Astyanax mexicanus: one gene and its partner. The protein of the gene in region 1 purifies or fractionates together with the protein of each later gene. This does not show direct contact. Links are inferred from orthologs where the notes say so. Each region holds a gene or a part of one and is shown on either strand. Other genes may lie near its edges.

What was found.
Region 2: the proteins of cabin1 (region 1) and ubn1 purify together in Homo sapiens (affinity purification with western blotting; 6 studies listed by BioGRID, with this or other methods). This does not show direct contact. The link is inferred for Astyanax mexicanus from reciprocal best matches to the Homo sapiens genes CABIN1 and UBN1.

The regions. Positions count from the first base shown.
Region 1 is NC_064419.1:22,917,807-22,934,717, reverse strand, and holds the start of cabin1 (calcineurin-binding protein cabin-1), read right to left. Parts: upstream 5,959-16,911; 5' UTR 5,874-5,958; intron 5,799-5,873; exon of another isoform or gene 5,540-5,798; intron 4,278-5,539; 5' UTR 4,234-4,277; coding exon 4,231-4,233; intron 3,669-4,230; coding exon 3,573-3,668; intron 3,458-3,572; coding exon 3,344-3,457; intron 3,246-3,343; coding exon 3,111-3,245; intron 1,935-3,110; coding exon 1,754-1,934; intron 471-1,753; coding exon 341-470; intron 173-340; coding exon 23-172; intron 1-22. Other genes in the region: cep78 (centrosomal protein of 78 kDa), read right to left, coding at 9,577-10,011, 11,070-11,193, 11,309-11,463, 11,549-11,626, 11,943-12,098, 12,194-12,236, 12,421-12,523, 12,997-13,087 and 4 more. UniProt on the Homo sapiens protein: May be required for replication-independent chromatin assembly. May serve as a negative regulator of T-cell receptor (TCR) signaling via inhibition of calcineurin. Inhibition of activated calcineurin is dependent on both PKC and calcium signals.
Region 2 is NC_064428.1:15,990,613-16,006,580, forward strand, and holds the start of ubn1 (ubinuclein-1), read left to right. Parts: upstream 1-9,459; 5' UTR 9,460-9,991; coding exon 9,992-10,222; intron 10,223-12,456; coding exon 12,457-12,555; intron 12,556-13,402; coding exon 13,403-13,501; intron 13,502-13,833; coding exon 13,834-13,974; intron 13,975-15,968. UniProt on the Homo sapiens protein: Acts as a novel regulator of senescence. Involved in the formation of senescence-associated heterochromatin foci (SAHF), which represses expression of proliferation-promoting genes. Binds to proliferation-promoting genes.

The DNA of each region.
Region 1 (16,911 bases):
TTTAGCCGCATGACGGACTCACGTAAAGCGCTTGATGGGCTCCACCAACTGAAGGTCTGGCCGGTGATGTGGGGTCAGCTTGGCTTGTCTTTGTCTCCTCAGTTCCAGAGCCTCCTCCACAATGCTGTGAGCTTCCTCCTCATCAATCTCACCTTGATATCCCATCATATCACTGTAGACAGCATGAAACATCAAATCAAGACAAGATCCCCCATTTAAATCTTTAACGGCCAGTTTCACAGACTGAATACAGCAGGGCTGTGATAATTAGACTCGATTAATGTCTGCAGACCACAAATGTTTAGTGAAGCAAGTGAAGAGGAATGTTGAGCAGGCGTACATTTTTGAGAACATTTTCATGGAGTCTCGTCTGAGGCAAGGCTGCTCCTCAAAGATCTTCTCCTTCAGGACCCGACCTTTAGTATAGCCTATGTCCTTCTCCAGAGCCTTGCAGATGTGGTACAGGCAGCCTGTGAAAAAAAAATGACACAAAGAAGCAAAGAACATTATATACAATCTGGAGTTTCACAAAGCATCGAAAGTTCAATGCTTTTCAATACTACAATTTCAAAATCGTTTTAAATCCTGTTGCATTCGATGCTTTCAATGCTATATACAGCCTGTAAAACTGAATCAGTAATCTGAATAAGTGAATCAAATCATGCATGCTTATTTGATTTGGATGGCAGCTGTAGCTAGTTAGCTAGCATGGCAATGTCAAAAACTCAAGTGGATATAAAGATAAAAACAACAGACAAATAATAGTATCATAAAATACTATAAATAGCTTATAAATAAATGTACAAATAGCTCATCTATTACTATTATTATCTAGGTAAAATTATTTCCATTAATACTTCACCTTTAGACAAAAGTATTGCTGGGTGGTATACCGGTTCAAACGGTCCACTGGAGAATGCCCCAGACAAGCCCAGAATCGGTCATTTATTTAGTAAACGTGATAAGATTCCCTAAAACACTGAATACAAGGAAATAACTATAGTCTTCTTTAAATATATAAATACTGTAGCTTGATGGATAATATTAATGCACACTGAATTTAATTTGGAGAAAAAAAAGGTGAATTTTGGCTGATTTTAATACTGTAATTCCTCTAATGGCTTCAGGAATAACATTGTAAATTGATATTAAACTTGTGTCTGATATTAAACTTGTAAAATAGAGCTTTTGAGAAATATCTTTAAAATACTTAAACATAGCTTATTTTAGGATAATTTATGATGTTTTTGGAACTATTTAAAATGTTTAGTTTTGTAAAGGAAGCCTGTTAAAAGTCTAATGTTAATATTCTTCAGCTGTTCCTGATAATGAAGTCAGATTTCTTAATATATTGTGTAATTTTGTGGGACAAAGTAAACCCAGTAAAAATAAAAGCCTTAAATCTAAGCCATAATGTTTGATATTATAAGTCACAAACCTATATTTAAGCTCAGACATGCAATAAAATATAAATAAATAATAATAATAATAAAAATAATAATCATAATAATAAATACCATGATATACTGTGAAACATTCGGAATCTTTTAAAATAACAAAATATACATTGTTGGTCATACTGCCCAACACTAGGTCAGTGTAGTAAATCAATGAGCCACTTGAATTATCAGCAATTGCATCAGCCCCGTATTCCATTTGCTAACTCCACTGATGGAGTTAATTTTTGATAAGGCTTGAGCTTAGCACTAGAAGCACAACAAAGCACTTGTGAACAAACTGGTAAAGTAATTACAGCTATAGTCGCTGAGTGTGTAGAGGACGGTGATGAGGCTGTCGAGGCACGGCCAGTGGTCAGGATTACAGCGCAGTCCCACCTCGAAGGCATGACGAGCTAATGGGATACTGACTCTCCTCAGAGCCACCTGACCCAGCTTATACCACATGTTCACATCTGTAGAGTCCAGCATAACAGCCTGCAGAAAATAAACATGAACAAACACGATCAGGAGAACAAATGTTCTGCGTTCTTTTAAACTAAAGCACACAACTCTTACTCTTTTGTAGCTTTGAAAAGCTACAAAACCTTATTTTCCACAGTATTTTATGACATTTTATTTATCAACATTTAGATTTGTACATTTAATATACCCTGAGATTATTTTTACGGCTCGTTTTACAGAAGATAATTGGTGCCAGAATCTTTAAAGATGCAGAAGCGTGCAGTCTGACAAAAAAAAATGACATGGGGCATTTGAACGGGACTAAAATAATCTAAAATAAACTAAGGGTGACCAATAATAATATCTTCTCACTAATACCTTCACCTTCCCATGTACAACTAATCTTCGGCAGCTGATGGCAAGCTACATAACTGGGATTCAAACCACAAAATTCCTCATCATAGTGGAAAAGATTTAGACAGCTGGACCATTGGCGCTCCCCTCGTCCAACAGAAGCTAGTGTGTAGTTTGTAACTGTGTAATGTTTTATTGATCTGATTTATGGGCTAAGCAGTTTTAACATCCGCTACTCTAGAATGGCTGAAGCTACTCAAGACCTGGCAAGAAAGCTGTAACTGAAAACTGTAAAACTAAGGTTCTCTAGACTACCAGAGCTAGACAGACCTGTTATAATGCATAGGATACATCTTAATCTACAGCTCTGGAAAAAAAAATTAAGAGACCACTTCAGTTTCTGGATTGGTTTCTCTGATTTTGCTGTTTATAGGTATATGTTTAAATAAAATGAACATCATTGTTTCATTCCAGAACCTATGGACAACACTTCGCCCAAATTCCAAACAAAAATAGTCATTTAGAGCATTTATTTGCAGAAAATGAGAAATGGGTGAAATAACAAAAAATATGCAGAGCTTTTAGACCTCAAATAATGCAAAGAAAACAATCTTGGCATGTTCTCCTCCACCAGTCTTTTACACTGCTTTTGGATAACTTTATGCAACTCCTGGTGTAAAAATTCAAGCAGTTCAGCTTGGTTTGATGGTTTGTGATCATCCATCTTCCTCTTGATGGTTCCAGAGGTTTTTTAATTTGGTAAAAAAAAAAAAAAAAATTAAGTCATTTTTTTTTCAGAGCTATATAAATCCATCCACAATCCATAATACTTGTGATCAGTTTGTTAGATTTCACCTCCACATAGAAGTCCATGGCAGTGTCCAGGTCATCCCTAAGCACAGCAAGACTGGCCAGGTTTTTGTAGGTGGAATATTTCAGCATTAACCCCGGGTGTTTGAGCCCGACCTTCTCATCTTCCGACGCCACCGCCTGAAACAAATCCAGAATAACAGACATATTGTTAATTACAAAAATATCAGCAAAACAGCCTCATCTAATTTCACAAACAGCAAGAGTCACATTTTTACCTCCCTAAGCAGCGGTGTCTTAAGAAGCACATGGTAAGCTCTGGCCGACTCCTCAAACTTGTCATGCTTCTGTAGGTCAAGAGCTTTGTGGTACAGGGCAAATGCCTCTGCCTCCTGCAGAACAGTGAAGAACAGGGGATGGAAATTGACAGAGGGGAGACAATTTTAATAGAAAGAAACTTTCAGTGACATCACAAAGTTAATCAAGATTACAGAAAGCAAAACTTACCTGAGCCTCCTTGGTCTGACTGGGTTTAGCGCTTCGAAAGTGATCCTCATGTTCATCTGCAGTCTGAGAGGCTGCATTAAGAGCAGCTATCCGGATCTGTGAAAGAAATGAAGTTAGCAAATAATTTAATAAACATTTTAATGAAAAAAAAAAAGCAACCAAACCATGAACTCGAGTGAAAGTCCTTAGTTTTGTATTTCTACTTAAATGTAAAGTATTTGCCATTAAATGTACTTTAATATTGAAATGATTTACTTAAGCTCTTAAGGTCTTATGTCGATTTTTCATATTTGTAACACAACTGAGTTTTCCTTACTATACTACATCTATATATTTCATAATTTACGCATGTATATAGGCACTCTTAGATTTTATGATGTTGCATAAATTGTAATTTACAATGTTAGTTCACCATGTGCTTGAAATGGGTTGCGGTCAAAATAAGATAAAAAAATAAATAAATAAATAAACCATATATAACAACTTTTTTTTATTATTCTGCACAATGTTTAGCAAAAAGTAAGACATTTGAGGAGAAGTCACCAAAATAGAAATATTTCTATATGTCTAAAAGATATTATGTTGCAAAAAGCATGGACTTCCATATCTTTCTATGGAGAACAAGATTGTCAGTTAAAAGACACAGATTCAATCTTACCATGGCTTGTTATGTGTTAACCATCACCACTGACTAATTATTAGGTTCTGTAAAAAGATGACAAGAATCAGAAGACAGGATTAGCAATCTTTATCACATTAAAAAGGCTACCTAAACTCTAGCTGCTATTATATTCTTTAACAATATCAGCAATCTAGTGTTACGCTGAACCTAAATGACCCACAGAGCTCACAGAACCAAGACAGATCATTTTAAATGCAAACTAATAATTAAACATTTCTAAGGAAAAACACAGTAGGTAGCTTTAAATGGTTTGTGAGCCCCTTCCAATCTAATCCAATTTTACATTTCGGTAAACGGCAAAAGTATTTGACGCTTTCAGGATCTGGTGTGACATTCCTTGTGCACCAAAAACTGCAACAAAATGTTTCTGGTTTCAGATTTGCCGCACCGGCTGCGAGGTATATTGTGGGTAATAGGACTGTAAGAAGTTCACACAAGTCACCTTCCATGCATCCTCAATAACGTGGGCAGAGCAAAAACCCATCCAGGTATTTGTTGTGTACTTGGCTAACTGTGATCTTCTAAATGGAATAGTACTTGGGCTGCATCTGATGATGCTTTACGAGTCACAAGAACACAAGAACAGACAAAAAATGACCTATACTTCTCGTTTAAACCAAAAAGTTCTATTTTTATCTCATCCATACACAAGACATTATTCCTTTTATGCACACAAAATTGGTATTTATCGTTCTCCTTAACGTGGACTCGTGAACATTAACATTAGCAAATGTGAAAAGGCCTTGCTTAGAACAAAAGTTACTTGTCTTAAATTTCCTTCAGTTTTCACACAGTCTGTCCAAACTCTTTAGAGATGGCTTTGTAACCTTTTGTGCTACGATAAGGATCAGACTTTAAAATATCCCTGCTTTTTTGTTTGTTTGTTTTACATAAAAGAGGGTACTGCACAATCACACATGAGTGTCATCCCAATTAAAATGCTAATCCTAAACTGGCACATTATTTTGCCACTCATGTTTGTTTGCTGGTCTAATGTTTATACCTCGCTCGTTTGTTAGTTTTTTTCTGGGTCGCCTGGGTCGCCTCGCCACTTGTTCTATGACTTGTGTGAGGTTTGGCTGAGGTTTTAGGTCAAAATTATGCAGAAATATAGAACATTCTAAGGGGTTAAGACACTTTTGAGCACCACTGTAGTAAAAATTAAAATATATCAGCTAACGGCTAACGTTGGTTAAGCTATAGTTTGGCTGTCAGTGTCATCTTCATAACTAGCTTTTTACTGAACACACTGGCTTCAAACAGTATTTACTGTTAGCTACCTTACCTAATAATATAGCGAAGCTCCTGTAGTCAGTGTCAACTAGTGCAATTTATTAAAAACGCTAAAATAACCTATATAACGATATAAAAGTATTGTTATTAGCGGTTAGCTGGTTAGCTAACCCAGCTAGCTATTAACTCCCACAGCGACACTCTTTGTTTACAGTCCCATTCACTCTTACTAACGTTCCGCTAGCTACGGTTAACTAACGCTAGCTTAGCTAACCCATATAACGCTCTCTTCCTCCCCTCTCAGTGTTAAAAAGCCGGTTTCTGCAGCATGTTGATATTCCCTGCAGGAATATATGTCTGTTTTTAATACATGGATTAAATCTTACCGGCTCAGAGACGCAAGTTGTGCACCAGAAAGCATCTGCAGGCAAACGGGCACATCTAATACCGGCCGCTCTGATTGGCTGAAAGAACACAGGCGCCACAGAAAGCAGCCAATGCTGATTTAGCTTTCTGTATTTGACTCTGAGACGTCATGTTCATTTATTCCAGGACAATTATTTACCTGCTATTCCGCCGAATCGGTGCAATTTTATGGATAGAGATTAGTCTCAAAACTCCTGACAAATGTGTAAAAAAATAATCCATTAATTACACAGACACCACAAATACATTTCACTGCTCACAAATAAATACATTTCAGTCTGTGTCTCACGACCTGCAATTGGTACAAATACTGTCAAACTCATAAATACACTTTTCTAGTTTTTATGTATAAATCATAATTTGCATGTAAAACTGAATGCATTTCTTTTACATGTACTTGCATATTTTCAAACTTAAAATGTATTTATAAAGTGTGCATCTGCAGTTTGTGGATCACGTTTGTTTTTTTGTTCATTTCCTCTCGCGTATTTTGGCGTTTGAGACTTTCCTTTTGCATTCCTGCACCTGATCCACACACAAATGCACCACTCCATTCACGCGAACAAGCCGCCGCGAGGGGGCGCTGCTGATTTGGAGGAATGGCGTAAGGGCGGATAGGATTCATTTGTTTGCGTTTGCGCTCGTTTCTCTGTTTCTTTGGGTCGGCGACTTTTTACTTCTGTTGTAAAAAGAGTGTCCACGTTATTTCGTGATTTCTCTCCGTTTTCCACTCCGTGCAATAGACTGAGTTCAGCTGATCTAATGAATTGCCATACCGTTTATATAAAGCCACATTATTCTGTCCAGACTGGTTTGTTTATTGGGGTTGTCTAGTCTCACCACACTCACTAAGTTGGGTAGATACATGTGTAATGTTTGAAATATGTATTGCTAATATAAGATATCTGTAGTATTATCTTATATGAACTTTGCTACTAAAATTACACCTTGAAAAATGTTACCCGCTTTATTGAGGTTCTAGCGCATGTACTTCTTACTTTTAAAGTATTAATGTGTCTTATTTTATAGTTTTTATACATACAGTTGTTTACAGCAGAATACTTTTTTCCAGCCACGTCGGTGCCCGGGAGCCCCTCTGAAATATATAGGGTGTTTGGCTGTTTAACTAAGTTAACAAGTTATACGATTGTAAACAAAATTATTCAGAGGGGCTTAAAGTGTGATATGCCAGCTAGCTCTGACTAGATAAACTTTCGGAATTGTTCATAATATTGTGGAAGAACAGTATTAAAAATAAGCTACCTCATGAAAAGTAGCTATTGCATGAAATGGTTAATATTTAGTAGGAGTTTTGTGATTCAAAATCACACATGCTGCTCACAGAAAATGTTGTTAAATTAATTTAAATTTACTTTTAATTTCAAGTGATGTATTTTGATTTATTATTCATGCAGAAAGACCCTTGACCAAGAACAACATCTTTTATTTGGACATCCACACATTTTTCAACCAGACAATGCAAAACCACACGCCGCACACTGTAATGTGTAAAAGCATGTCTGTGGAAGAGGATACAGGTACTAGATTGGCATACAGTACTAGTAAAAAGTTTGGACACACCTTGTTATTCAATGTTTTTTTTTCTTATATTTTTCCATTCATTGTAAATTAGTACTGAAGTCACCCAAAAGATTGAGTAAAAAAACAAGTCTGTTATTTTCTTTCAAAGCCTCATTTTACACCAAGCCTCTCTGATTGAATCATTTTTTTTTAAATCTGTGGACATTTCTTACAATGTAAATGTTGTTCAATTAAGAAAGCAAGCAACATATTGTATCTGTTATCCATTTATTCACAAGAAATTCATTTTCACAGTCTATGAAAAGTTAATAAAGGATACAAACTGGGTGACCGATTTTTTTTCACACTTAAAAAACAGCAATAAAAAAATAAATAAAACAAACCCTGCGTTTAAAATCTGTTATACAGAAAATGTAAATTACATTTCAAACACGTTCAGTCTGCTTTTTTACACAGTTAAAAGTGTAGACTGAAAAAATGGCTTTTAAAATGGCTTTTCAATTAGTACAATTAACACTTGTTTGGCAAACAGTTTTAGCCCAAAATGGCACACGAAAAAACAATTTACTAGTGCAAATGAAAATCGAAGAGATTTAATTTATAGATATGCCTTGCCAATATGAAATTAAAGATATGTGATCTTGTCAATATGACTATAAAAATATCCTTTACAGGTTTCTACAGGTACCTAAGTGAGCACAATTGACCCGGCTCTCTCTGGGTTAGTAGATGGTGGTCCCTCTCTCCTCCTCCTCCTCCTCCTCCTCCTCCTCATCATCACCACCATTGTGATGGTGGCCGATACAGGGGTCTGTGGTTAAAATGCATCAGAGTGCTTTCTGTAAAGCATTCAGAGTTGAATGCCTAGTAATGCTGCATTGGAAACAGTTAAAAAAGATGTGGTAGATGACATCATGTGTATCAGAGGAGGCATGCACTTGTTCAGACCCTCCCAGCCATAGAAACATTTTAAGTGATAAGTGGAGGTCGTAGTGGGTGGGTACATTGACTGGCTAAGCTAAATTGGGGAGAAAATTTGGTTGCATTACAGAAACCCTAAATATGAGAATTAAACAGATAAATTTTACATTTGTATTACTGGTGGCATTTAAGACCAAAAAGACTTGCCATACTATTAAACATCAACTAAAAGATGTCTAAAGACATACATCTGCTCAACAGAAGACTCCTTCTAAAATTGCACACAGCAGCATAGCCAACAGAACTAGCATATTTTTTTTGCACTATAAAGCGCACTTAAAATCTCCTTTAATTCTCCACAAAAATGGTCAGTGCGCCTTTTAATCCGTGTGTCTTATGTATAAATTTTACCAGTCAGGTTGTAAGGAGCAGTAAAGCCACTCCGCTGAAGTACAGTGTATTACAGGAGTTTCAGTTTAGTTCTCCAGCACCGAGGCTGGAGTAGTATTAGCATTAGCTGCTAGCCGCTATTTCCCCATTCATAGGTGAGTATTATCGGACTGTACCTGGAGCAGCATTAGCATTAGCCGCTAACTGCGCTACAACGTTTGTCATTCAGAGGTAAGTATATCGGACTGTGGTCTGCGTGTTTACTGTGTTAAAACAAGCTACGTGGGACGAACCACTAGCTAATATTGCCCTGGCTTACTGGAGCACTTAGGGTGACTCAGTGTAGTGTTCCTGGGTGGCAGTAGCCGCTAACTGCTAGTGGCTCGCTGCTAATGCTTCTTAGCAGCCTTATTGCTGGAGAAATTGGGGAATCTAAGCCTACTGTAAACGAAAGCACTATACTCAGCCTAATAAACAGTTTTCAGGAGAGAAATCTGTATAGGTGAACATCCAGCACTCGTTTCACTTTAAAAGAAAGTATTTTTGTTACAGTTTTGTTTACTTAGCTTAGCTTTACCTGACCTGCTAAATTAGAAGTTCCATAGAGTCTGTTTAAATGCGCCTTATGTATGGAAATCGACCAGAAAATAGTTAATTGATAGTGCGCCTTATAAAATGGTAAGCCTTATATTGCGAAAAATAAGTTTTTCTGACATTTCTTATTTCTTTAAAAACTGCGATCATCAGTAAACAATGGCACTTAGCATTGAAGCTCACAGTCTAAATGCATTTTACAAATGGAGCTGGGCTCTATAATCCAGCAAACCCAGTGGCACTCCTCTGGTTCTCAACGTTTGAGACAGTTGAAGATCTGGAGCTCAGAGCAGGAGAAACCCTCCCGTCAGAGAAGTCGTCTCTGTAAGAATTGGAGACTCTGCTGCTGTGTATGCTTGTGTGTATGCTACTTGCTGAACTCCCTGAACCTCCCTTGGAACCTCCACTGTCCCGACTTTTCTCAGAACCAGAAAATCTGTGAATACTAGTTTGGGGTGGGGAGAAACTCCATTGCTGCTGTGCAACCTCAGGTTGGCTCAGTGGAGCAGGAGGGGTGCTGGAGTGAATGGGTGGGTTGAAGGGAAGCTCCTGTGGTGACTGAACATGAGGAGAATGCTTGGAGGCAGCAGAAGTTCTAGAGCAGGGTCTGCTCATCTGAAGTCTTGATGCTGTTTCAGGGTTGTCTGTTTTCTGTGGAATAAATACAGAAAGTTATGACGTAAGCAAGATCTTTCATGGTAATTAAGTTCTCTCATGAGGTTTCTGAGACACAGCATTAATGCAGAAGTAGATTTAGATCTTAGAGCAACATATGCTCAAGACAACTGCTTCCCCAGGGATGTCCAGGCATTTCGAACAAGGCAATGCAAAACCACATGCTGCACAAATTACAAAGACATGAACTAGAGGTTTGCACTGCACTACTTTTTTAAAGCCCGCTTCTGCCCGCTCCTGCATGTTTAGTCCCGTTACTGCCCGCTACCACCAATAATCGCTTGTTTTCATTCTGTGCCTGCCCGCCACATACACATTTCTATTCCTAAAATGAACTTAATTAATTAAATGTAGTGCTTGAAATTTACTTATGTGTTTATTAAAACATATATATATATAGCGCTGGATAGAACTGTCCCATTTCTTTCCACAGTCCAAACACATGCTGTCAGGTGAATTGGGGAAGTTGATATTGTCCCATCGGTGTGTGTGTGTGTGGGTCCATCCTCCGCTTTAAAATTTATCAGTTTTCTTTTGTTCCTCGCATTGCAGCCAGATGAAGAATCTTGTAGTAGAGGTGGATTTAGGACTGTACACTGGATGAAGGGTTTGATTCAGTAATTTAAAAAATGTAAAAAAAAAATTGAATTATTATTATTATTACTGATTGATTAGTTGTTTTTCTTTTGTTCGTTATGCATGGAAATCATTGCATGATTGTTATAAATTTTCTAGACTATTTATTCATTTGCAGGATTTTTCTACATGTATATGTGGTCCCGCTCCCGCATCGCCCAAAGACATTCTGACGAGTCCTGCAGGTCTCTAGCATGAACGCAAAACCTACACACAATTTACAAAAAATAAAAGATGGTGATGTTTTGCTATTTTTAATACAGACTGATAATAACAAAAAGTCAGTGCAGTAAGAAAAAGGCAGAGCAGCAGTAAAAAAAAAAATATAATCTTAATGAGAGTCTCAACAACTGTATTTCTGGAGAATTCTAGTTCTCACTGAAATAAATGTCACTTACAGCAACATCATCCTGTCTCTGCACATCGCCCTGGTCTCTCTGGCCCCTTTGCTGTGTGGAGGAGAGCTGAGGACAACCAAAGTCTGACTGCTCAATACCAGCCATGGATGCCAACTGGCCAAGCCTGGGAATAATCATAAAACATATTAACCATGTAAAAAAACTTAATTTAAGACTAATATTAAAAAACACTAAGCCAAAACTGCAATTATCAGTGTGCAAATGTAAGAAAATGATACCCAGCATCTTTGAGAAGGTCAAGAAAGGCATGGAACTTCTGAAAAGAAGATTCAATGCTGTCCAGCACATGCTCATCTTCCAGAACAGAGTGGCTGATATGGGCTTCAGACAGTGACTGATTCAGACTGCGCAGACGACTATTCTCCAACTCCAGCTGAGAGAACAAAACAATGCATGAAATGTATATATTCATTTATATGAAGATAGATATTTATATTAAGGTAGATATTTAACTGTACCTCAACCAAGCGAGAATTAGCTTTCAGTATTGTATTTCTCTCCTCCGCAAGTCTGAGTTTGCATTCCTGCAGCTCCACCTGTAGGTTACACGAGTAACTACACTGAACATACTGCACATTCAACACATTCTTCAAAGCATATTTATTGAAAAATAATGTTTTTCCAATATTTCTCCACAATTTAGTCATTTCCAATTCCCAACTACTAGTTAAGGTACACTAAGCTGTCAATGCATCATTTCTTGCATTACAAGAAATATAAAGCAACATAACTGGCAAGAATATAGTATAGCATCACATTGAGTAATGGGGAAGAGAGGGAGCTATTGTACCATACACAGAAAAAAAAAAAAGAAGAAAAAGAAAAACATTTAATATACAGTTAAGATGTTACCTCTAGGCACTTGAATTCTGCCTGCAGATGCCTGAACTGCCTGCTGGTTATATTTCCTTGAGGACTCTGTGCACACACACTTGGCAACACATCTTCTCTTTCCTCAGACTCTGATTCGCTCTCTGACTCCAGAGTGACTCGGATAGTGGAGGCATTCTGAAGGAGTGATCATGAAGTAAATATTTAAAAATTGCATATTTTATCCAGCATAAACAAATGTAAATATTCAGGCAAAAAATAGAAAAACAAACCTGAAAACTCTGATCTGCTGTAATTGCACCATGTGGAAGACCCCTACATCAGACAGAAACATGTTTAAATTAATGAACACTTAATAAACACTATTGATAGTGATTGCAACAGACAAGCAAAGAAACAGATAAATCACACAACGACAGACAGACAAATCGCACAGACAGGAAGACAGAGAGAAAGATGGAAAGATGGATAGGTATAAAAGGTACACAGTGTCTCTAACCTCTGAAGTGTGGCTCGTGCTGCTGTGCGCCACGGGATATAACCAGTGGATCCAGGCCGAGGTTGCCTCCATCCATACGTAACTGATGAAGTCCGGCGAGATCCTTTAACAGATAGAGCTGATATAAACTCAGAATATCTATTACACAGTCGCACATCATGTGTGATATCATACAGTGAGGAAAATAAGTATTTGAACACCCTGCGACTTTGCAAGTTCTCCAACTTAGAAATCATGGAGGGGTGTGAAATCATGAAGGGCTCACGTTTGGTGCGTGTCCTTTGTGAGAGACTTAATAAAAAAAAATCCAGAAATCAGAATGTATGATTTTTAAATCAGCCATGTTAGTAGTTGGAGTCTTACTGATTGTGTGGGGTGGACAGGTGTCTTCATGCAGCTTATGACCTCAAACATGTGCTTCTAATTTAGAATAATAAGTGGAGTGGAGGTGGACTTTTTAGAGGCAGACTAAATTTCAGACTCCTCCATGATTTATAAGTGGGAGAACTTGCAAAGTCACAGGGTGTTCAAATACTTATTTTCCTAACTGTACAATTAATTCAGGGGTGGCCATACCAGCTCTAAAGGAAGCCCTTCCTGTGTTTCTCCTTATCATCTGTCCTGAATGGTTATGTGCATCCTTAGCTGGAGGCTTCAGCCAAAGATACTGCAAACACAAGCCCAGATTCAAAGTCACTCCTTTAACATTTCCTGATTATATTCTTAAACATACTGTGAGTGTGTTACCTGTGCATCCTGGCCTTTCGTGTTCATGAGCACCTTCTTAATTACAGCCTTCACCAACCCCTTATCTGAGGAGAAAAACGATCAGCAGTGAGAGTGGTGAGCGTTTAAGCAAAGTGGACATTCTTTACATATACAGCTCTGGAAAAAAAATAACTTAAAAACACTTAAAAATAACTTTTTTTTTAATAACTTAAAAAAAATATGAGTTTCTTTGATTTTAACAAATTGAAAACCTCTGGGATAGAACCAAGAGGAAGATGGATAATGACAAGCCATCAAACCAAGCTGAACTTAGTAGAGTGGCATAATGTTATCAAAAAGCAGTGTGTAAGACTGGTGGAGGAGAACATGCCAAGATGCATGAAAACCAATTAAAAACCAGGGTGATTCCACCAAATAATGATTTCTGAACTCCTAAAACTTTATGAATTTGAACTTTTTTTCTTTGCATTATTTGAGGTCTGAAAGCTCTGCATATTTTTTGTTATTTTAGCCATTTCTCATTTTCTGCAAATAAATGGGTTAAATAACATTATTTTTTAGAGATGACCGATCAGTGTTTTGGGGGCGGATTCCGATCGCCTTTTACCTCGATCGGCCGCTCGCCGATACCGATCTTGGGCGGGGCCAAATGCCACACAGGTGCCAGGCAAACCTGCAACAGATTCCCCTAATTACATCCACGCCTAAGCAAACACTGGTAATTTACACTGATAGTAAACAAACAAAAGAGTGTTACTGACCAAAATAAAAGCTTTTCAGGAGAGATATAAGTAATGTGTAAATATTTGCAAGACACCAGAATTTTTATAATTTTTATGTCAATACCACAGGAGTGTGTATCCCAAAATCAGCCGCCTCAGCCTGTTTTGTCAACTTACTGCTTAAAATATCTCATTTACTGTTAATATATAGATAATAATACAATATTTTAATAAGACCAACAGTAATCCATCGCTCCAGCTAGAGCTTAGATTGGGCAAAAACATCCAGTCTGACTATGCCTGCCCTCATAAACTGCAATTAAGAGCGCAGACCTGATTTAAACTCCATATGTTTTGTAAATAACGTAACAGCAATAAAACAGAGCTTTTAACTAAACTCACAAATAGTAGGAAAGAATGAAATCTGTTTTAATTTGGTTAATAAACATCATTGTGACCGCGCTAGTCACAGTTTCACCACAGCGAGGGACAAGGCCTTCGTTAATCACTTATCTAACCAGCCTTTACTGATTTCTGCCCCCAATAACCCTTTCAATAACCTCCAACAGGTTTTAATAGTCTTCAGTAGCCTTCAACAGTCTAAACTGGCGGCCGTGTCCACTAAACTCACAGTAAAGCGCAATAACTGACCTGTTTATAATGTAATACAAGCAGTGACTCCGTGACGGCTGCACTAAGATGCTGCTGTTAGCTTGTGAGCTCACTGGTTGGGCAGAAAGATGAACTGTAGAGAGCTGTATTATCCGGTTAGTGGGATTAAAACCATTATTTACTACACAGATGAAATTAAGAAAACTGAAAAACGCTCCAGATTGGCTGAGCTACCATTGTAGCCCGTGGCTGGGCTGTAGCTCTGACTTCAGTGAAGACAGCGGGGCTTGTGCTGCTGCTGCAGCTCCGGCTAGTGGTTGGATGAGGAACTGCAGCTTCTTGTAAATGAGCAGTTCCACCGGTAATCCACACACAGCTCTGATAAACTGCTTAACCCTAAACTCCTGAATCGGATCGGCTAAAATCAGAGGAATATCAATCGCCGATACCGTATTTTGGCTGAAAATCTTCTGATACCGATACACTGCCGATCGATCGTCCCATTTCTAGTATTTTTATTTGGAATTTGGGAAAATGTTTCCTGTAATTTATAGAATAAAACAACAATGTTCATTTTACTCAAACATTTACCTATAAATAGCAAAATCAGAGAAACTGATTCAGAAACTGAAGGGGTCTCTTGATTTTTTACAGAGCTGTATATTAGAGCACTTTGCAGTTAATGTGTGACTGACCTACTAGTGGATTCCTCCTGATGTCCAGAACACAGAGAGTAGAGTTAGATTGTAACATCTTCTCAAGGACTTTAGCTCCTTCATTAGAGATCCCACAACGCTGAAGGTCCACCGCTGCAATATCAATATAGAATAATGTAGCCAGACAGAACCACATACAGTAAAGCTCTTTCATAGCCTACAGCCTAACTAAAACAATTGTACGTTTACACACAAATTGTCTATTCATATGCCCTCCTACTATATACTGTAAATTGGATCTAACATTGTAAATAGAGATGACGGAATGGTGCATTTTTTTTTAAATATTAGGAATGTGCAAATATTACAAGAAAAAAATAACCATAACCCATTATCGTGTACCAAAAAAAAAAGTGTTTGGCCTAATAAAATTATAAAATTATGCATTTATTATCATTTATCATGCTTGGTTTACTACCCTTTCACAAACTGTTTTTTTTTGTTGAAAGATCCAAGCTATAGAGTGCTAAGATATTAATGTTAGTTAGCTGGCATTAATAACTGAGGTAAATGTATGACTAAAATTGCACTTCAGAAGTAGCTGGCTAGAAAAATGTGTAACATGAATAGCACCGCTGAAATAAATTCCTGATTAGAATAGCACAGCTCAGGTAGATGTATGGTGCGTTGTTGGTACAGTATGTGTACTGGGATATTAAAAGTTTAGAATTAAATTAACATTTTTAAATGTTTTTTTGGGGGGGTTTTGTTCTTTTAAAATCAGACCAAAATACATTTAGGATATTTTATCCTTTGGCCAAATGTTTCATTTTGGTCAGTTTTTAATTTCGGTGCGTCCTTCCTTCAGTTGGTTCCATTAAAGTTCCATTTCAACATGTTTTTTTTTTTATGAGAACATTAGTATCAATAAATGTCTGCTAATTTCGACCCAAAATCCACATATAGCCTTAGATCCATGACATCTCATGTTCTCTCACCTTTGACCCACAAGTCCTCTGCCAGTTCCTCAGCAATCGCTGCCACTCCTCTGTCCCCGATTAGGATATTGTCATTAAGTGTGATTCTGCGTAGCCCACTCATCGCCTCAAACTCTGCCTTTCTGTACCGTAGAGACTCCGCCCATGCTGTGCCATGACGCCTCACTGCTTGATGCTGCTCGAAACAAGCCAATAATATAAAATTGACAGATATATACATATCTATCCATATGTAAAAAACGAATATACAACAACCAAGAAACATAATGCAGCACTTTTGCTTTAAATAAAATCTTCAAAATCATTGTGATTTTCCAGTGACTTGTAATAGAGGAAATTGTGTCTCTATCATTTCCACTCCAGGCTGTAATTCTATTTTTGTACTTTCTGAAACTTTAGTTGAGCTGCATGAGACCTTTATAATGATGCTTAGTCATATTTGTGTAAAATCTTATAATATTATTCCTTGCCACAGACCTTACTGTATTATTTCATTTCAGTAGCCAGCCTTCAGCTTGTCAACAAATACATGTGTACAGTTGTCAATGAGGTAGAGCGCAGAGAGTGATTTGTATTTACTGCAGTGGTGTAAAAGTATATTATTCTCTGCAACTATAAGGAGAGCCCCAGGAGTAAACAAAGACAATTTTTTCAAATAAAGACCTTTTTTTAATTAAAGACCAATTTTCACAAAATCTTAACACCATGATTTTTTTTCTGGATTTTTTTATTTATTTCCAGTCTAATCCCATACATCACACCGGTAAACAGACC
Region 2 (15,968 bases), on another chromosome or scaffold:
AAATGTAATGATTTTTTATGACACAAATAACAATAATGTTCTAATCCATATAATATAATAAATATTTTAAGAAATGATGGTCGGTCAATCTGAAAAAGCTCAAGATGTTATGATGAAACAGGCTTTCATCAGGACCGTTCCAGGAAAGGATGATCAAGGGTTCCGTCTGTTGTACAGGATAAGATCATCAGAGTTACCAGCATCAGAAACTGCATGTTAACAGCTCCCCAGATTAGAGCACCAAAATGCTTCACAGAGTATTTTGGTTTGTTTAACGCTTTTAAGTTACTACATGATTCCTTGTGTCGTTCTTCAGTCTGGATCACTTTAGTATTCATTTACAAAATTAAAAACTTTGAATTAGGTGTGTCTTTTGTCTGGTAGTGCTTATATGTGTTTAAATTATATATAATAAATATACATATAATTTGAATTATATGTTCAACCCTTTAATATAAGTGCCCATATATGGCCATATATAAGTTTTCTGTGTAAACAGAATACTATCCGCTTCTATTGTAAAGTGATTTTACTTTCTATGGATTCTGCTGCCCTCTGCTGCCACGCAGTGAGTAGTGAATCTTACTACAATTTAATCATTTAGCTCTTTTCTATCAATTAGCCTTTAAATTCAAGTATTTAATGAGTTAATTTAATGTGTTAGTAATGAATGAATGAAATTGCAATAAAGCTTTTAAATAAAAGAATATAAACTTTTTATCAAAACTGTAGTGATTTAATATAGGTTATTGTGAATTTTTATAGACCAACCATTATTTGAAAGAGGCAAATATTGGATTACACAAAATATTGATTATATTTATATTCAGCAAGCTAAAGATAATATTACTAGATAAAACTACTATTTTTATATACTTTTTGTAATTTTTAAACATGGTTATACATATGTCAGTTTGACCTGGAATCAGTAGTAGGGGTTGGATATATTAATATTATAAAAATGAATAAATGTTCACACTGAAAATGTAATGATTGTTTTATAAATTCATTTATTATATATGCACATATATATATATATATATATATATATATATATATATATATATATATATATATATATATATATATTGTATATATGTACAACTCTTTAATATGTGTGTCCATATATGGCCATATATATGTTTATATACTGTCCGTGATATTATCTTGCTATTTTGCCCAGAATATCGATGATATCCCAATTTTGTGATTCTGTGATTATATCCCAATTTTGTGATTCTGTGATTATATCACAAGAAATCACAAATTTGCTAAATAAGCAAATACAAGAAATTATGTGTTTATTCGTTATCCTGTTTCTTAGGGTACAACGTTAGGTCTAACTGGCTTTGAGCTCACAAGACTTTGTTTGTTTGTTTGTTTATTTGTTTGTTTGTTTTCTTCAGTAGAAACTAGTGATGGGTTCGGCAACGCTGATGCGTCGGCACATGCGCAGAGCTCCTAGAGCAAACCCCGCATCGGTGCGCATATCGGTTTCAGCAGGTCACATGACCCATACAGGAACTGTTTCGAAAGGACACCAACGCGCCAAATTGTTCTACTAACATTTTAAGTGTGCGTCTTAAACATTCTCTAAACAGTCATATAGGCAATATTATATTATATATTATTTCTTAATACTGGCAGCAGATTCTGCCAAAATAGGTTTAAATGCTATAAGAATATCCCACCAATCTCTATCATACTTCTTCTGCATCTTCTGATATGGTGCTTTTAACTTCATCACAAAATGTCCCACCTACAGTCATATTTAAACAAGGTTTACATTTAAAGCATCAGCCTTTAAGATTTTGTTCTCTTAAATGGAAAACAGTAGTGTTTTTGAGTGAGTGCTTCTGCTACAATTCCTGCAAAGCCACATATATTCATTATAAAAGCAGGGTGTCTGATAGGTCCCAGTAAAATACGAGGCTGAAGTTGGCGTCTTATTCGCCAGTGTCTTATTCGGATTTTCCGGTCCACCTTAAAAAGTCGAAGTACCAATTATTCGCCAGTAGAGAGCAGGGTTGAGCCGAGCAAAACGAGTTTGGCATTTAGGGCATATTACACTGAGAATACATTGCCTGTTCTGGGTATTTCCAGTTGCCCGAACTCCAGATTATCAAATAGTCTGTTGAATTTGACACCACATTATGAAAATATAACTAGTATACTGTGAATAGCCTAAAGAACTTAACATTTAATGTACAGTTTTTTTTATTATGAGCCTCTGAACTTGGCATTTGAGAAGATTAAAGGAGAATAAATTGCCTGTTCTGCATATTTCTAGATGCCCTAAATCCACATATTCAAATAGTCTGTTAAATTTGACACAAATTATGAAAATTTACATATTAAACTGTGAAAATCTTTAATAACTACAAAGATTACTGTACAGTTTATTATTATGACCCTCTGAACATGGCATTTCAGAATATGTCAGTAGAATAAATTGCCTGTTCTGCATATTTCCAGTTACCCTAATTCCAGATTGTCAAATAGTCTGTTGAATTCAACACCACATTATGAAAATATACCTATTAAACTGTGAATAGCCTAAATAACAAAACATATTACTGTACAGTTGTTTTATAATGAGCCTCTGAACTTGGCATTTGAGAAGATTAAAGAAGAATAAATTGCCTGTTCTGCATATTTCCAGATGCCCTAAATCCAGATTCTCAAATAGTCTGTTGAATCAGACACCACATTATGAAAATATACCTATTAGACTGTGAATAACCTAAAGAGCTAAAAATATTACTGTACAGTTTTTTTATTATGACCCTGTGAACTTGGCATTTGAGAAGATTAAAGAAGAATAAATTGCCTGTTCTGCATGTTTCCAGATGCCCTAAATCCAGATTCTCAAATAGTCTGTTGAATCAGACACCACATTATGAAAATATACCTATTAGACTGTGATTAGCCTAAAGAGCTAAAAATATTACTGTACAGTTTTTTTTATTATGACCCTGTGAACTTGGCATTTGAGAAGATTAAAGAAGAATAAATTGCCTGTTCTGCATATTTCCAGATGCCCTAAATCCAGATTCTCAAATAGTCTGTTAAATTTGACACAAAATCATGAAAACATACCTATTACACTGTGATGAGCCCAAAGAGCTAAAAATATTACTGTACAGTTTTCTTTATTATGACCCTGTGAACTTGGCATTTGAGAAGATTAAAGAAGAATAAATTGCCTGTTCTGCATATTTCCAGATGCCCTAAATCCAGATTCTCAAATAGTCTGTTAAATTTGACACAAAATTATGAAACTATACCTATTAAACTGTGAACAGCCTTTATAACAAAAAAAAATACTGTACAGTTTTTTTATAATGAGCCTCTGAACTTGGCATTTGAGAAGATGTCAGGAGAATAAATTGCCTGTTCTGCATATTTCCAGTTACCCTAATTCCAGATTCTCAAATAGTCTGTTAAATTTGACACAAAATCATGAAAACATACCTATTACACTGTGATGAGCCCAAAGAGCTAAAAATATTACTGTACAGTTTTTTTATTATGACCCTGTGAACTTGGCATTTGAGAAGATTAAAGAAGAATAAATTGCCTGTTCTGCATGTTTACAGATGCCCTAAATACAGATTCTCAAATAGTCTGTTGAATCAGACACCACATTATGAAAATATACCTATTAGACTGTGATTAGCCTAAAGAGCTAAAAATATTACTGTACAGTTTTTTTTATAATGAGCCTCTGAACTTGGCATTTGAGAAGATTAAAGAAGAATAAATTGCCTGTTCTGCATATTTCCAGATGCCCTAAATCCAGATTCTCAAATAGTCTGTTGAATCAGACACAAAATCATGAAAACATACCTATTACACTGTGATGAGCCCAAAGAGCTAAAAATATTACTGTACAGTTTTTGTATTATGACCCTGTGAACTTGGCATTTGAGAAGATTAAAGAAGAATAAATAGCCTGTTCTGCATATTTCCAGATGCCCTAAATCCAGATTCTCAAATAGTCTGTTGAATCAGACACCACATTATGAAAATATACCTATTAGACTGTGATTAGCCTAAAGAGCTAAAAATATTACTGTACAGTTTTTTTATTATGACCCTGTGAACTTGGCATTTGAGAAGATTAAAGAAGAATAAATTGCCTGTTCTGCATATTTCCAGATGCCCTAAATCCAGATTCTCAAATAGTCTGTTAAATTTGACACAAAATCATGAAAACATACCTATTACACTGTGATGAGCCCAAAGAGCTAAAAATATTACTGTACAGTTTTTTTATTATGACCCTGTGAACTTGGCATTTGAGAAGATTAAAGAAGAATAAATTGCCTGTTCTGCATGTTTACAGATGCCCTAAATCCAGATTCTCAAATAGTCTGTTGAATCAGACACCACATTATGAAAATATACCTATTAAACTGTGAATAGCCTAAATGACAAAAAATATTACTGTACAGTTTTTTTTATAATGAGCCTCTGAACTTGGCATTTGAGAAGATTAAAGAAGAATAAATTGCCTGTTCTGCATATTTCCACATGCCCTAAATCCAGATTCTCAAATAGTCTGTTGAATCAGACACCACATTATGAAAATATACCTATTAGACTGTGATTAGCCTAAAGAGCTAAAATATTACTGTACAGTTTTTTTATTATGACCCTGTGAACTTGGCATTTGAGAAGATTAAAGAAGAATAAATTGCCTGTTCTGCATATTTCCAGATGCCCTAAATCCAGATTCTCAAATAGTCTGTTAAATTTGACACAAAATCATGAAAACATACCTATTACACTGTGATGAGCCCACAGAGCTAAAAATATTACTGTACAGTTCTTTTATTATGACCCTGTGGATTTAGGGCATCTGGAAATATGCAGAACAGGCAATTTATTCTTCTTTAATCTTCTCAAATGCCAAGTTCAGAGGCTCATTATAAAAAAAACTGTACAGTAATATTTTTTGTTATTTAGGCTATTCACAGTTTAATAGGTATATTTTCATAATGTGGTGTCTGATTCAACAGACTATTTGAGAATCTGGATTTAGGGCATCTGGAAATATGCAGAACAGGCAATTTATTCTTCTTTAATCTTCTCAAATGCCAAGTTCAGAGGGTCATAATAAAAAAACTGTACAGTAATATTTCTAGTTATTTAGGCTCCTCACAGTCTAATAGGTATATTTTCATAATGTGGTGTCTGATTCAACAGACTATTTGAGAATCTGGATTTAGGGCATCTGTAAACATGCAGAACAGGCAATTTATTCTTCTTTAATCTTCTCAAATGCCAAGTTCACAGGGTCATAATAAAAAAACTGTACAGTAATATTTTTAGCTCTTTGGGCTCATCACAGTGTAATAGGTATGTTTTCATGATTTTGTGTCAAATTTAACAGACTATTTGACAATCTGGAATTAGGGTAACTGGAAATATGCAGAACAGGCAATTTATTCTCCTGACATCTTCTCAAATGCCAAGTTCAGAGGCTCATTATAAAAAAAAGTGTACAGTATTTTTTTTTTGTTATAAAGGCTGTTCACAGTTTAATAGGTATAGTTTCATAATTTTGTGTCAAATTTAACAGACTATTTGAGAATCTGGATTTAGGTCATCTGGAAATATGCAGAACAGGCAATTTATTCTCCTTTAATCTTCTCAAATGCCAAGTTCACAGGGTCATAATAAAAAAACTGTACAGTAATATTTTAGCTCTTTGGGCTCATCACAGTGTAATAGGTATGTTTTCATGATTTTGTGTCAAATTTAACAGACTATTTGAGAATCTGGATTTAGGGCATCTGGAAATATGCAGAACAGGCTATTTATTCTTCTTTAATCTTCTCAAATGCCAAGTTCACAGGGTCATAATACAAAAACTGTACAGTAATATTTTTAGCTCTTTAGGCTAATCACAGTCTAATAGGTATATTTTCATAATGTGGTGTCTGATTCAACAGACTATTTGAGAATCTGGATTTAGGGCATCTGGAAATATGCAGAACAGGCAATTTATTCTTCTTTAATCTTCTCAAATGCCAAGTTCAGAGGCTCATTATAAAAAAAACTGTACAGTAATATTTTAGCTCTTTAGGCTAATCACAGTCTAATAGGTATATTTTCATAATGTGGTGTCTGATTCAACAGACTATTTGAGAATCTGTATTTAGGGCATCTGTAAACATGCAGAACAGGCAATTTATTCTTCTTTAATCTTCTCAAATGCCAAGTTCACAGGGTCATAATAAAAAAACTGTACAGTAATATTTTTAGCTCTTTGGGCTCATCACAGTGTAATAGGTATGTTTTCATGATTTTGTGTCAAATTTAACAGACTATTTGACAATCTGGAATTAGGGTAACTGGAAATATGCAGAACAGGCAATTTATTCTCCTGACATCTTCTCAAATGCCAAGTTCAGAGGCTCATTATAAAAAAAAACTGTACAGTATTTTTTTTTGTTATAAAGGCTGTTCACAGTTTAATAGGTATAGTTTCATAATTTTGTGTCAAATTTAACAGACTATTTGAGAATCTGGATTTAGGGCATCTGGAAATATGCAGAACAGGCAATTTATTCTTCTTTAATCTTCTCAAATGCCAAGTTCACAGGGTCATAATAAAAAAACTGTACAGTAATATTTTTAGCTCTTTGGGCTCATCACAGTCTAATAGGTATATTTTCATAATGTGGTGTCTGATTCAACAGACTATTTGAGAATCTGGATTTAGGGCATCTGTAAACATGCAGAACAGGCAATTTATTCTTCTTTAATCTTCTCAAATGCCAAGTTCACAGGGTCATAATAAAAAAACTGTACAGTAATATGTTTTGTTATTTAGGCTATTCACAGTTTAATAGGTATATTTTCATAATGTGGTGTTGATTTCAACAGACTATTTGACAATCTGGAATTAGGGTAACTGGAAATATGAAGAACAGGTAATTTATTCTACTGACATATTCTGAAATGCCAAGTTCAGAGGGTCATAATAATAAACTGTACAGTAATCTTTGTAATTATTAAAGATTTTCACAGTTTAATATGTAAATTTTCATAATTTGTCTCAAATTTAACAGACTATTTGAATATGTGGATTTAGGGCATCTAGAAATATGCAGAACAGGCAATTTATTCTCCTTTAATCTTCTCAAATGCCAAGTTCAGAGGCTCATAATAAAAAAAAACTGTACATTAAATGTTAAGTTCTTTAGGCTATTCACAGTATACTAGTTATATTTTCATAATGTGGTGTCAAATTCAACAGACTATTTGATAATCTGGAGTTCGGGCAACTGGAAATACCCAGAACAGGCAATGTATTCTCAGTGTAATATGCCCTAAATGCCAAACTCGTTTTGCTCGGCTCAACCCTGCTCTCTACTGGCGAATAATTGGTACTTCGACTTTTTAAGGTGGACCGGAAAATCCGAATAAGACACTGGCGAATAAGACGCCAACTTCAGCCTCGTCAGTAAAATAGCACTCATTCTGAACAGAGACTGCAGCACAATGCTTGTTTAAAAAAAAAAAAAAAAAAAAAAAAAAAACTTTATAGCATGCTCTGTGCAATTACACATTCTCACCAAAAACTTAACTTACAGACTTTTGGAATTTAAATATATACCCTGGTAAAGTAATGAAAGAAAGATGATGGGCCTCCAGCAACAAGGACAGCGCCCTCTGCAGTACAGAGGAACCTGCAGAAAATTAACAGGCAGCCATCTTTATTGCAGAGGGATATTATTTCAGTCCCTTGTGTTTTATCTAGATTGGAATAAAATATATATACATGCTCAGTTTCACTGTCAAATTTGCCACATTTTAAAATCCCAGAGAAATTTATTTTTAAAAAATTAAAACTTTTTTTATCAGATGTATTTTTAGGATGCTGTCTTGAGATCAAATGTCTATCCAAACAAGTATTATTAGAATCATTGTTTTATAGGCTAAAAATAGTAATGATTAACATGTGTCAAATTAGTAGTAAAACTAGCAGGTAAAATCTTTATCTGACCCATTTTGGAATGGTTGTAGGGCAAAGCATTTATATTTTAAAAACAAATATCAACATAAATCAACTTATTTGTATATAAGTGCATTGGTTAATGTAATTCTCACTGTTCTCGTGCATTGCCTGAACACACACAAAAAAAAAATAGCTTTAAGAGCTCATGGTTGAGCCGACCAACTGCCGCCAACGTCTTCACAGGAGTTTTGTTCTTCTGACTGTGCTGCACAAGTCACAATCAGTTTTTGTTCAATATTATAAAAAAAGAATCAGGACAATGTTAGAAAAAAAAAACAATTTACAATAGGCTTATGTATTAAGCCTACATAAATTAGTAGACTACAGAGTGAAATAGTGAACTACTGAGACTACTACTACTTAAAACTTTTATGAAAAATGTGTTCTACCTATTCTAAAAATTTCTTGCATTATAATTTGAAAGGGTCCCTTCTTTTTTGTCATGTAGTGTGAAAGGTAATTAGGTAATTATTAGGCTAATTTTAGAAAGAAATTAAGTCACAATAACGTGTATATTATCTCTGTCTGTGTTCATCTGTAACTCCGCTCCTGTGTTCGTCCGTGTCTTTACCTTAACTATTGTCACCTGTATTCATTCGTAGCTCCGCCCACCTAATTCCCCAGGTGTTACCGGTTCCCTTTCCCGCCTTGTGTGTGTATTTAAGCTCCTTTTTGTGGTCAGTGTTGGTTTGTCGGTTCTTGTGCGTGTATACGTCTGTCTCGGCTGCGGTTTGTTCTGTTCGATTCGTGATTCAGTTTGTACTCAGTTTCTGTTTATTTGCTTTCTGTTTAATAAAGATTACTTGCGTGTGCGTCCGCTCTCCTCGTCCGTCCTTTGCTGCAGCGTGACACTGTACATATTTTTTTAAAAATAAATCACTTAAATACATCGTTTCAGTAGTTCACACGTTGGAGTTTATGATATATCTAGTGGCTATTCCAGTGTAAATGGTTTTAGATTAATTGGGAAAGTGCTTAAGAAAGTGTTTCCTCTATACTATTAATTTTATTCTGATATTGGACTTTTGGATCAGATTGCTTATCTATGTTTTAAAAACGGTCTCTGAGCAAAAGGTTAAAGATTAAAGTGATAGTTAAACTATTGTTACTTTTTAATGCTTTATGCCAAACTGTTTAAAAACAAATACTTGTGTCAAGAAATAGAAATCTGCATGAACATTTGCAAATAACTTTTTTTTTTTTTTTTTTTTTTTTTTTTTATAATTGTCTCACTTCTTTTTCTTGGTGGTTTTCATGAACAATAGGTTTCTGACTGTATTGACACAATAAGTGTATTAAAAAAAAGCTTGTTAAGGGGGGCGCGCGCTGATGACGCCTTGTTAGGTGGGCTTGGTGGGCGGGATGACCGACCTGATCCTGTCCAATCAGGCTGCGGGGATGCTGCGAGCGCTGATGATGATGCTGATGATGATGATGCTGATGATGATGCTGGGCTGTGTTGCTGCTACTGCTGCTGTTGAGGAATTCTGGGCTCTGCTCTCAGCTCAGCTGTCATTTCAGAAAGCTGAGGTTTGAGATGGTGGATCAGCTTCAGTCTCGCTAAACCTGCGTCCCGATTCTCATCCGACGCTCAGCCGACGTCGAGACGATGCTCGGTCCGCTGATGCGTCTCTGAACGAAACGAGGCCTGGATCGCCCTAATCCGGGTTCATCCTCAAACAGAGATGCTGAACGAGGAGCTGAGCATCAGACGACCGTCTGAGGAGGTCGACCACCCATCAGCTCGTGTCTAGGGGGGGCATGCACTGAAGCTCCAGCTTCTCGCTTTGTTTTTCAGGCTGTTTCTCCTCCTTCCAGAGCGGAATAATGCGCCAGCATGCCTCTGAGGAACCTCCTCTCCACACCGGCTAAAGCGACACCTCGGCCGCTCGCTATTGGCTTTCCAATCACTTAAGTTGGCGCACCTGTGCACGCGCGGGGAAACGACGACAGGTGCAAATGGCCACGCCGCGAAGGATCCAGCTCACGACTCTCTCGAGCGAGGTCGTTCCCCCGTCCCTCCCCAACAGCCATGCCGCCCCAGACGTGCCCCCTACCCAGCAGGCGGCAGATCCGCCGCCCCCCGAGACCACCGACCCGGTTCCATCCGCGAGAATTCAGCTGGTCCTGTTTGAGCCGGATGAGCGGCGCTGCCCGGAGTTCTACTACCCCGAGCTGATCAAAGGACAGGTAAGTTACAACTCACGAGAGGGCACGTGCCTGTTCAACACTCTCATAAATACCTGTACACAACTGTCACTGGTGTGATACACACTAAAAAACAGAGGTACAATAAAAGTTTACATAATTGTTACATATTGGTGTAATATTGGTCTTTACAGGCTCAGATATGTTTCCTAATAGCCGGAAGAACAGATTTGTACCATTTTACCAGCCAAAAGCGTACATTCTGTATTCTGTATCACTTTACAAATAAACAATGCAAATTGTAATTATACATTTTTATTTGAAAGCCAGACAATTTTGGATCATCAAGACACACATTCAGTTGATGATGTTTATAATCTTTATAATCTTTACTGGTACAAAAAAAAACATGGGTACAAAAAAGACTTTTAATGAAGAGTAATTTATTGTACCTCAATATTAGGTACAGCACCAGCAACAAGCTTTATACTCTTAAGTACAATCTGTACTTATTTTTCCTAGTGTGTACCTAACTCTCTTTTAGTCAATGGTGTGGCAGCTTACCCACTTCTAGTCACTGATGTGTTGCCCTCTTCTAGTCACTGGTGTGTTACCCTCTTCTGGTCACTGGTGTGTTATGGTGTGTTACCCTCTTCTAGTCACTGGTGTGTTCGCTTACCCTTCTAGTCACTAGTATGATACCCTGTTCTAGTCACTAGTGTGTTACCCTCTTCTAGTCACTGGTGTGTTATGATGTGATACCCTCTTTTAGTCACTGGTGTGGTAGCTTACTGTTCTGGTCACTGGTGTGTTACCCTCTTCTAATCACTGGTGTGATCTCTTACCCTTTTAGGTAACTTTAAGAAGTATAATTCAAACAACAGCTGTTATTTAACCAGTTAAACCAGTTGAAATGAATCAGGGTAAATAGGCAGCACTGCAGACATGGCAAAAATATCCACCCCCCTATAAAATAACACTGTATTAAATGTATAAAAAGTTATTTGAAGTAATGATTGACATTCCTCTAAATCTGTAATAATGTTTAGAGTAATTATGGAAAAGAGGTCGTTTACTCAACACGAGTCATGCTGTGAGCAAAAGGTTATTAAATATAATTTCACTGGTGTTTTACTGCTCTTTACACTGGTATTACCCGTCACAAATATATTTTATTCATATAGCATTTTTATAACTGATGAACCATAACTGTAAGCAGTATAGAGAATCAAATAAAACACAACATAGAACAAGAAGCCCCAGTGAGCGACAGAGGCAATAAAAATCTCCCTCAGAGCTGGAGGAGAAACAAACCTTGGGACACATGATGTTTGTTTGTTTGTTTGTTTGTCTGTTTGTATGTTTGTTTGTTTTAACAGTAGTTAACAGGGCCACACCAGTACCAGGCCAGACTGCACTGGATTAGACCAGTGTGTTTTTAGCTGCAAGTGGAAGTGGTGGGTGGAACCCACTTTGATGCTATTTATAAATGTGTTAAATCAGAACTGATTCAGAGGGAGGAGAGGTAGAGAGAAGAAGAGACTCCACTGAGAAGTGTCTGTCTGTCTGTGTCCCTCTTGCTCTTGTTCCCTCTCTCTCTCTCTCTCTCTCTCTCTCTGTCTGTCTGTCTGTCTCTGTCTCTGTGTCTATGTCTGTCACTGTTTTCATTTTCCATTATACCAGAAACAGGTTATATCTACTCAGTAATTATTATTACATTTTTGGATATACAGAGTGAGAGTAAATGCTGGTGAAAAAAAATCTGTATTTCTTTTAAATTGCAATATATATTGAAAAAAACAATATCCAGCCCTATAATGTAGTTTATAATGCTGTTTGTTTTTATAAAACGCACGTCTTTCTGAATGTACTTGTGCACAAAAATGGTTCTATTTATGGTCTATAAATGGTTCTACTTTCCATTCCAGTCAGTAAAGTTCTAATGAGATTCCATAGGAGCTCTTTGTCAATGCTGATTGATACATCAGTTGGTTTGTAATTATGATTGTAACTAATCCTGTCCATAGTATGTCTAAGATGTGAAACAGTTTTCAGTTCTGCTGTAGAAATAAATAGAAAACGTTTTTATAAATGTATAATTTTATAAAAGTATTTTATGTTTCTGTAATTTCGAGGTTCCTAAAGGACCAAAAGCAGTTCTGATGTGGCATCACTCAAAGAAGCATTTGTGTGTTTTTTTCTTTTTTTTTTTTTTAAGAGTAGATCATGGCACAGATAGAATTCCATTCTGGCTTCTCTTCTTTCCTCTTTTGAAGATCACAAATGGAAGCAATAGGAAAACTCTGGAAGAGCAGATTGAAGAGAAGGAGAGGGATGAGATGGAGGCCCTGTCCAAAAAGTTTGAGGAGAAATATGTAAGTTGTAGGAATGCAACAAAATTAGCATTTGTGGCTGAATACCAAACATGTTTTTCACAGGTTTTCATTAAATCTGCCACATTTTTCACTATTTAATAAATGACATAGCTTTTGTGTATTTCCTCATGCGTTCCAAAGAAAAAGCAATTACAAAACTATGATTGTATCATTGAACACTAAATATTTTTAACATCCAAGCAGACAAACCATCCAAGCGCAATACATTTACCTCAGCAGTGCTGTTTTAATCTCAAATTAAGCTAGCCAGCCACCTCAGCAGTGCAGCATCATTCATGATTTTACCTTTAGTCCTTAGTGCTACCTCATGAAAATGTTAGAGGAAAGACTGCAATATAAATTCAAATAAATTAACATTAACATTTTTTGATTTTTAAAGCTAGGTAAAACTCACAGGAATGCACGTGCCTGTTTAGCAGTCTCATAAATACTCACTGTGGTTTTACCCTTCTAGTCACTAGTGTAGTAGTACCCTTATAGTCACTAAGATGTTAGCCTACCTCTTTTTTAAGAAGTGTAATACGACAAAGTTGTTTCACATAATCAAGTTAATCGAAACAGGGAATTTATGGTACAGCACATAAACAAAAATACTGGGAACACCCGCTCCGTTGTTTTTTCTTCTTTCTTTTTCGACTAGAATATTGTGTAACCCTTTAGACATAATGATATGAGTTTGATCATGCTAAAACACATGTATTTTCTATTGTTTGTTTTAGGTCTCTTGTTTCATATGTGGATTTATTACCTAATTAATTTCTACATTATGGTGATGGTATGAACTGTATGGAATGTATTGATATCTGGTAATACTATTATTTTCTAGGGTGGTGCTCCTAAACGACGGAAAGACAGATTACAGGATCTGGTGGACATGGGCTTTGGATATGATGAAACAGACTCCTTCATCGACAACTCTGAAGCGGTGAGTTTTGGAACAGGGCAGAGTTTCCCCCCCACACACAAGCTATAACAATAATCTGCTGAGGTTTAAATCTCTGATTTATCTTAATCAACACAGGATCAAAGTCATACATCCAGCCTGTGATTCCAACGTCATTCCTTTTTTTAGATTTTAGATTTTAATGGTCAGTTACTTTTCTTCTTTCTGGATCACAGAAGGTTTTGTTGCAGTATGTTCGGAATGAGTTCAGATATTCTGTTAATTTTTTCACAGTGTGAACTGGTTTGCAAAACATTATTTTCTTAACCTTTTAAATTTTTTAAACCTGTTTTATTCTTGTATAATGTTTGAAGTATGATGAGCTGGTTCCGGCCTGTCTTACAACCAAACATGGAGGGTTTTACATAAATTCTGGGACGCTCCAGTTCCGCCAGGCGTCAGAAGAGGGTGAAGAAAATGAGACGGATGACTTTGAGAAGAACGTTAAGCCTAAGGTGTGTCTTATGTGACTTAAGGTTGTTTAACTCATTTGCCTGAACATGTAGGAATTTCCAGGCATAAATATTGTGTGGCCTAAATTCTTAAGTTTCTAGGAATATCTAGTTCTTAACATCTAATTGTTGAACTGTAAGGCTGTGGAATATCTGAAGCGTTTACAACTCTTCCTGTTACTGAGCCAAGCTTAAAATGAGCCAAGTGTAAAATTGTAAAAGAGTCAAATTGTCCAGAACTGTTTATGTGTAATATATTCATATATTAACACACACTATATGAATAGCATTAAATCAGTAAGTGTCATTGTTCATTACTATAACAAAAAAACAAAAAAAAAAACTGGTTGGTTTGATCCACAACATTAAAGTATCATTAACTACATGTGATAATATTTAAGAAGCCCAAACTAAATTTTATCATTCTGTTAAAAAACATGACTTCCCTAAATGTTGTTTGGAAAAAACAAACGTGCTTCTCTAAAGCTATCATAAATTCATAAAGTCATTACAAAGTAAATTACAATAGCTTTTATTAACACATTACAGAACATGTATTAAAGACACTGATGGATCTTAAATTGCTATTTTCAACATTTAGGCACCCCAAACCTTGAGGGCTCTGCATTATGCTCATCTTATCTTTATAATAATCGACAACATTGCCAAAAAAAAGGAAAAAAATTGTTAACATAGAATTGTATTGTTGATGCGTGATTAATGTGTGATGAAGTGGACAACAGGGGTAATGAGCTCACTTCCTCATTGATTGATTACATTGTATATCATGACATGGTAAAATTTTAAGTAATAAATAAGTTCTGTTAATATGTACATCCAATTGAAATAATAATAATACTTACACATAATAACATTACACAACAAGTGGTGACAGACAATCAACATAGTACGAGAACAGACAGCAGGGATAAGTGGTATAGTACATTAAACAGAGGGAAGGCCGTAGGCAAGAGAAAAGAGGTGAGTCTTGAGTGTAGATTTGAACAAGGAAAGAGAGGAGGATTGTTTGACCACAGATGGGAGAGAATTCCATAGTTGAGGAGCAAGTCTGGAAAAAGCCCGATCACCAAAGCCACGGAGTTTAGAGGCTGGGACTTTAAGAAGTCCAGCAGTAGCAGACCTAAGGGATCGAGATGGTCTGTAAGGAAGAAGGAGGTTTGACAGATAAGGAGGTGCAAGATTATTTAATGCCTTATAGGTAAGTAAGAGAATCTTGAATTGAATCCTGTATTTAACAGGGAGCCAGTGAAGATTTTGGAGAACAGGTGTAATGTGTTCATGGGTGCGAGTGTGAGTGAGTAAACGGGCAGCTGCGTTTTGTACCATCTGGAGTTTATGGATAGAGGAAGAACTAATGCCAGCAAGCAAGGAGTTACAGTAATCTAGTCTGCTGGAAATAAAAGCATGAAGGAGTATTTCAGCAGTGGACTGAGTAAGGGATCGTCGAATTTTAGCTATTCTGCGCAGATGAAAGAATGCAGTTTTCACCACAGAGTTGATGTGAGCTGTAAAAGAGAGAGTGGAATCTAGAAGAACGCCCAAATTTCGGACTTGGGTAGAGGGAGAGATTACTGTACCGCCAAAGTTGAGAGAGAGAGTAGGAGTTTGATTGAGGACTGCTTTAGTGCTGATTAGGATGAGCTCGGTCTTATTACTGTTTAGCATGAGAAAATTGTCCTTCATCCAGTTCTGGATCGCAGAGAGACAGCTTTCTAAATGAGTAGTGGGTGGGTTATTGATAGAACTAGTGCTAAGATAAATTTGGGTGTCGTCCGCATAACAGTGGAAGTCTAGGTTAAAGTGACGCAACAGAGGCCCAAGAGGAAGGATATAGATGATGAACAGGAGAGGTCCAAGGACTGATCCTTGTGGTACTCCGTGTTTAATCACAGAGGTATGGGAGGAATAGCCAGCCAATGAAATAAATTGTTTTCTGTCAGTTAGGTAAGATGAGAACCAGTCCAGGGCAGTGCCAA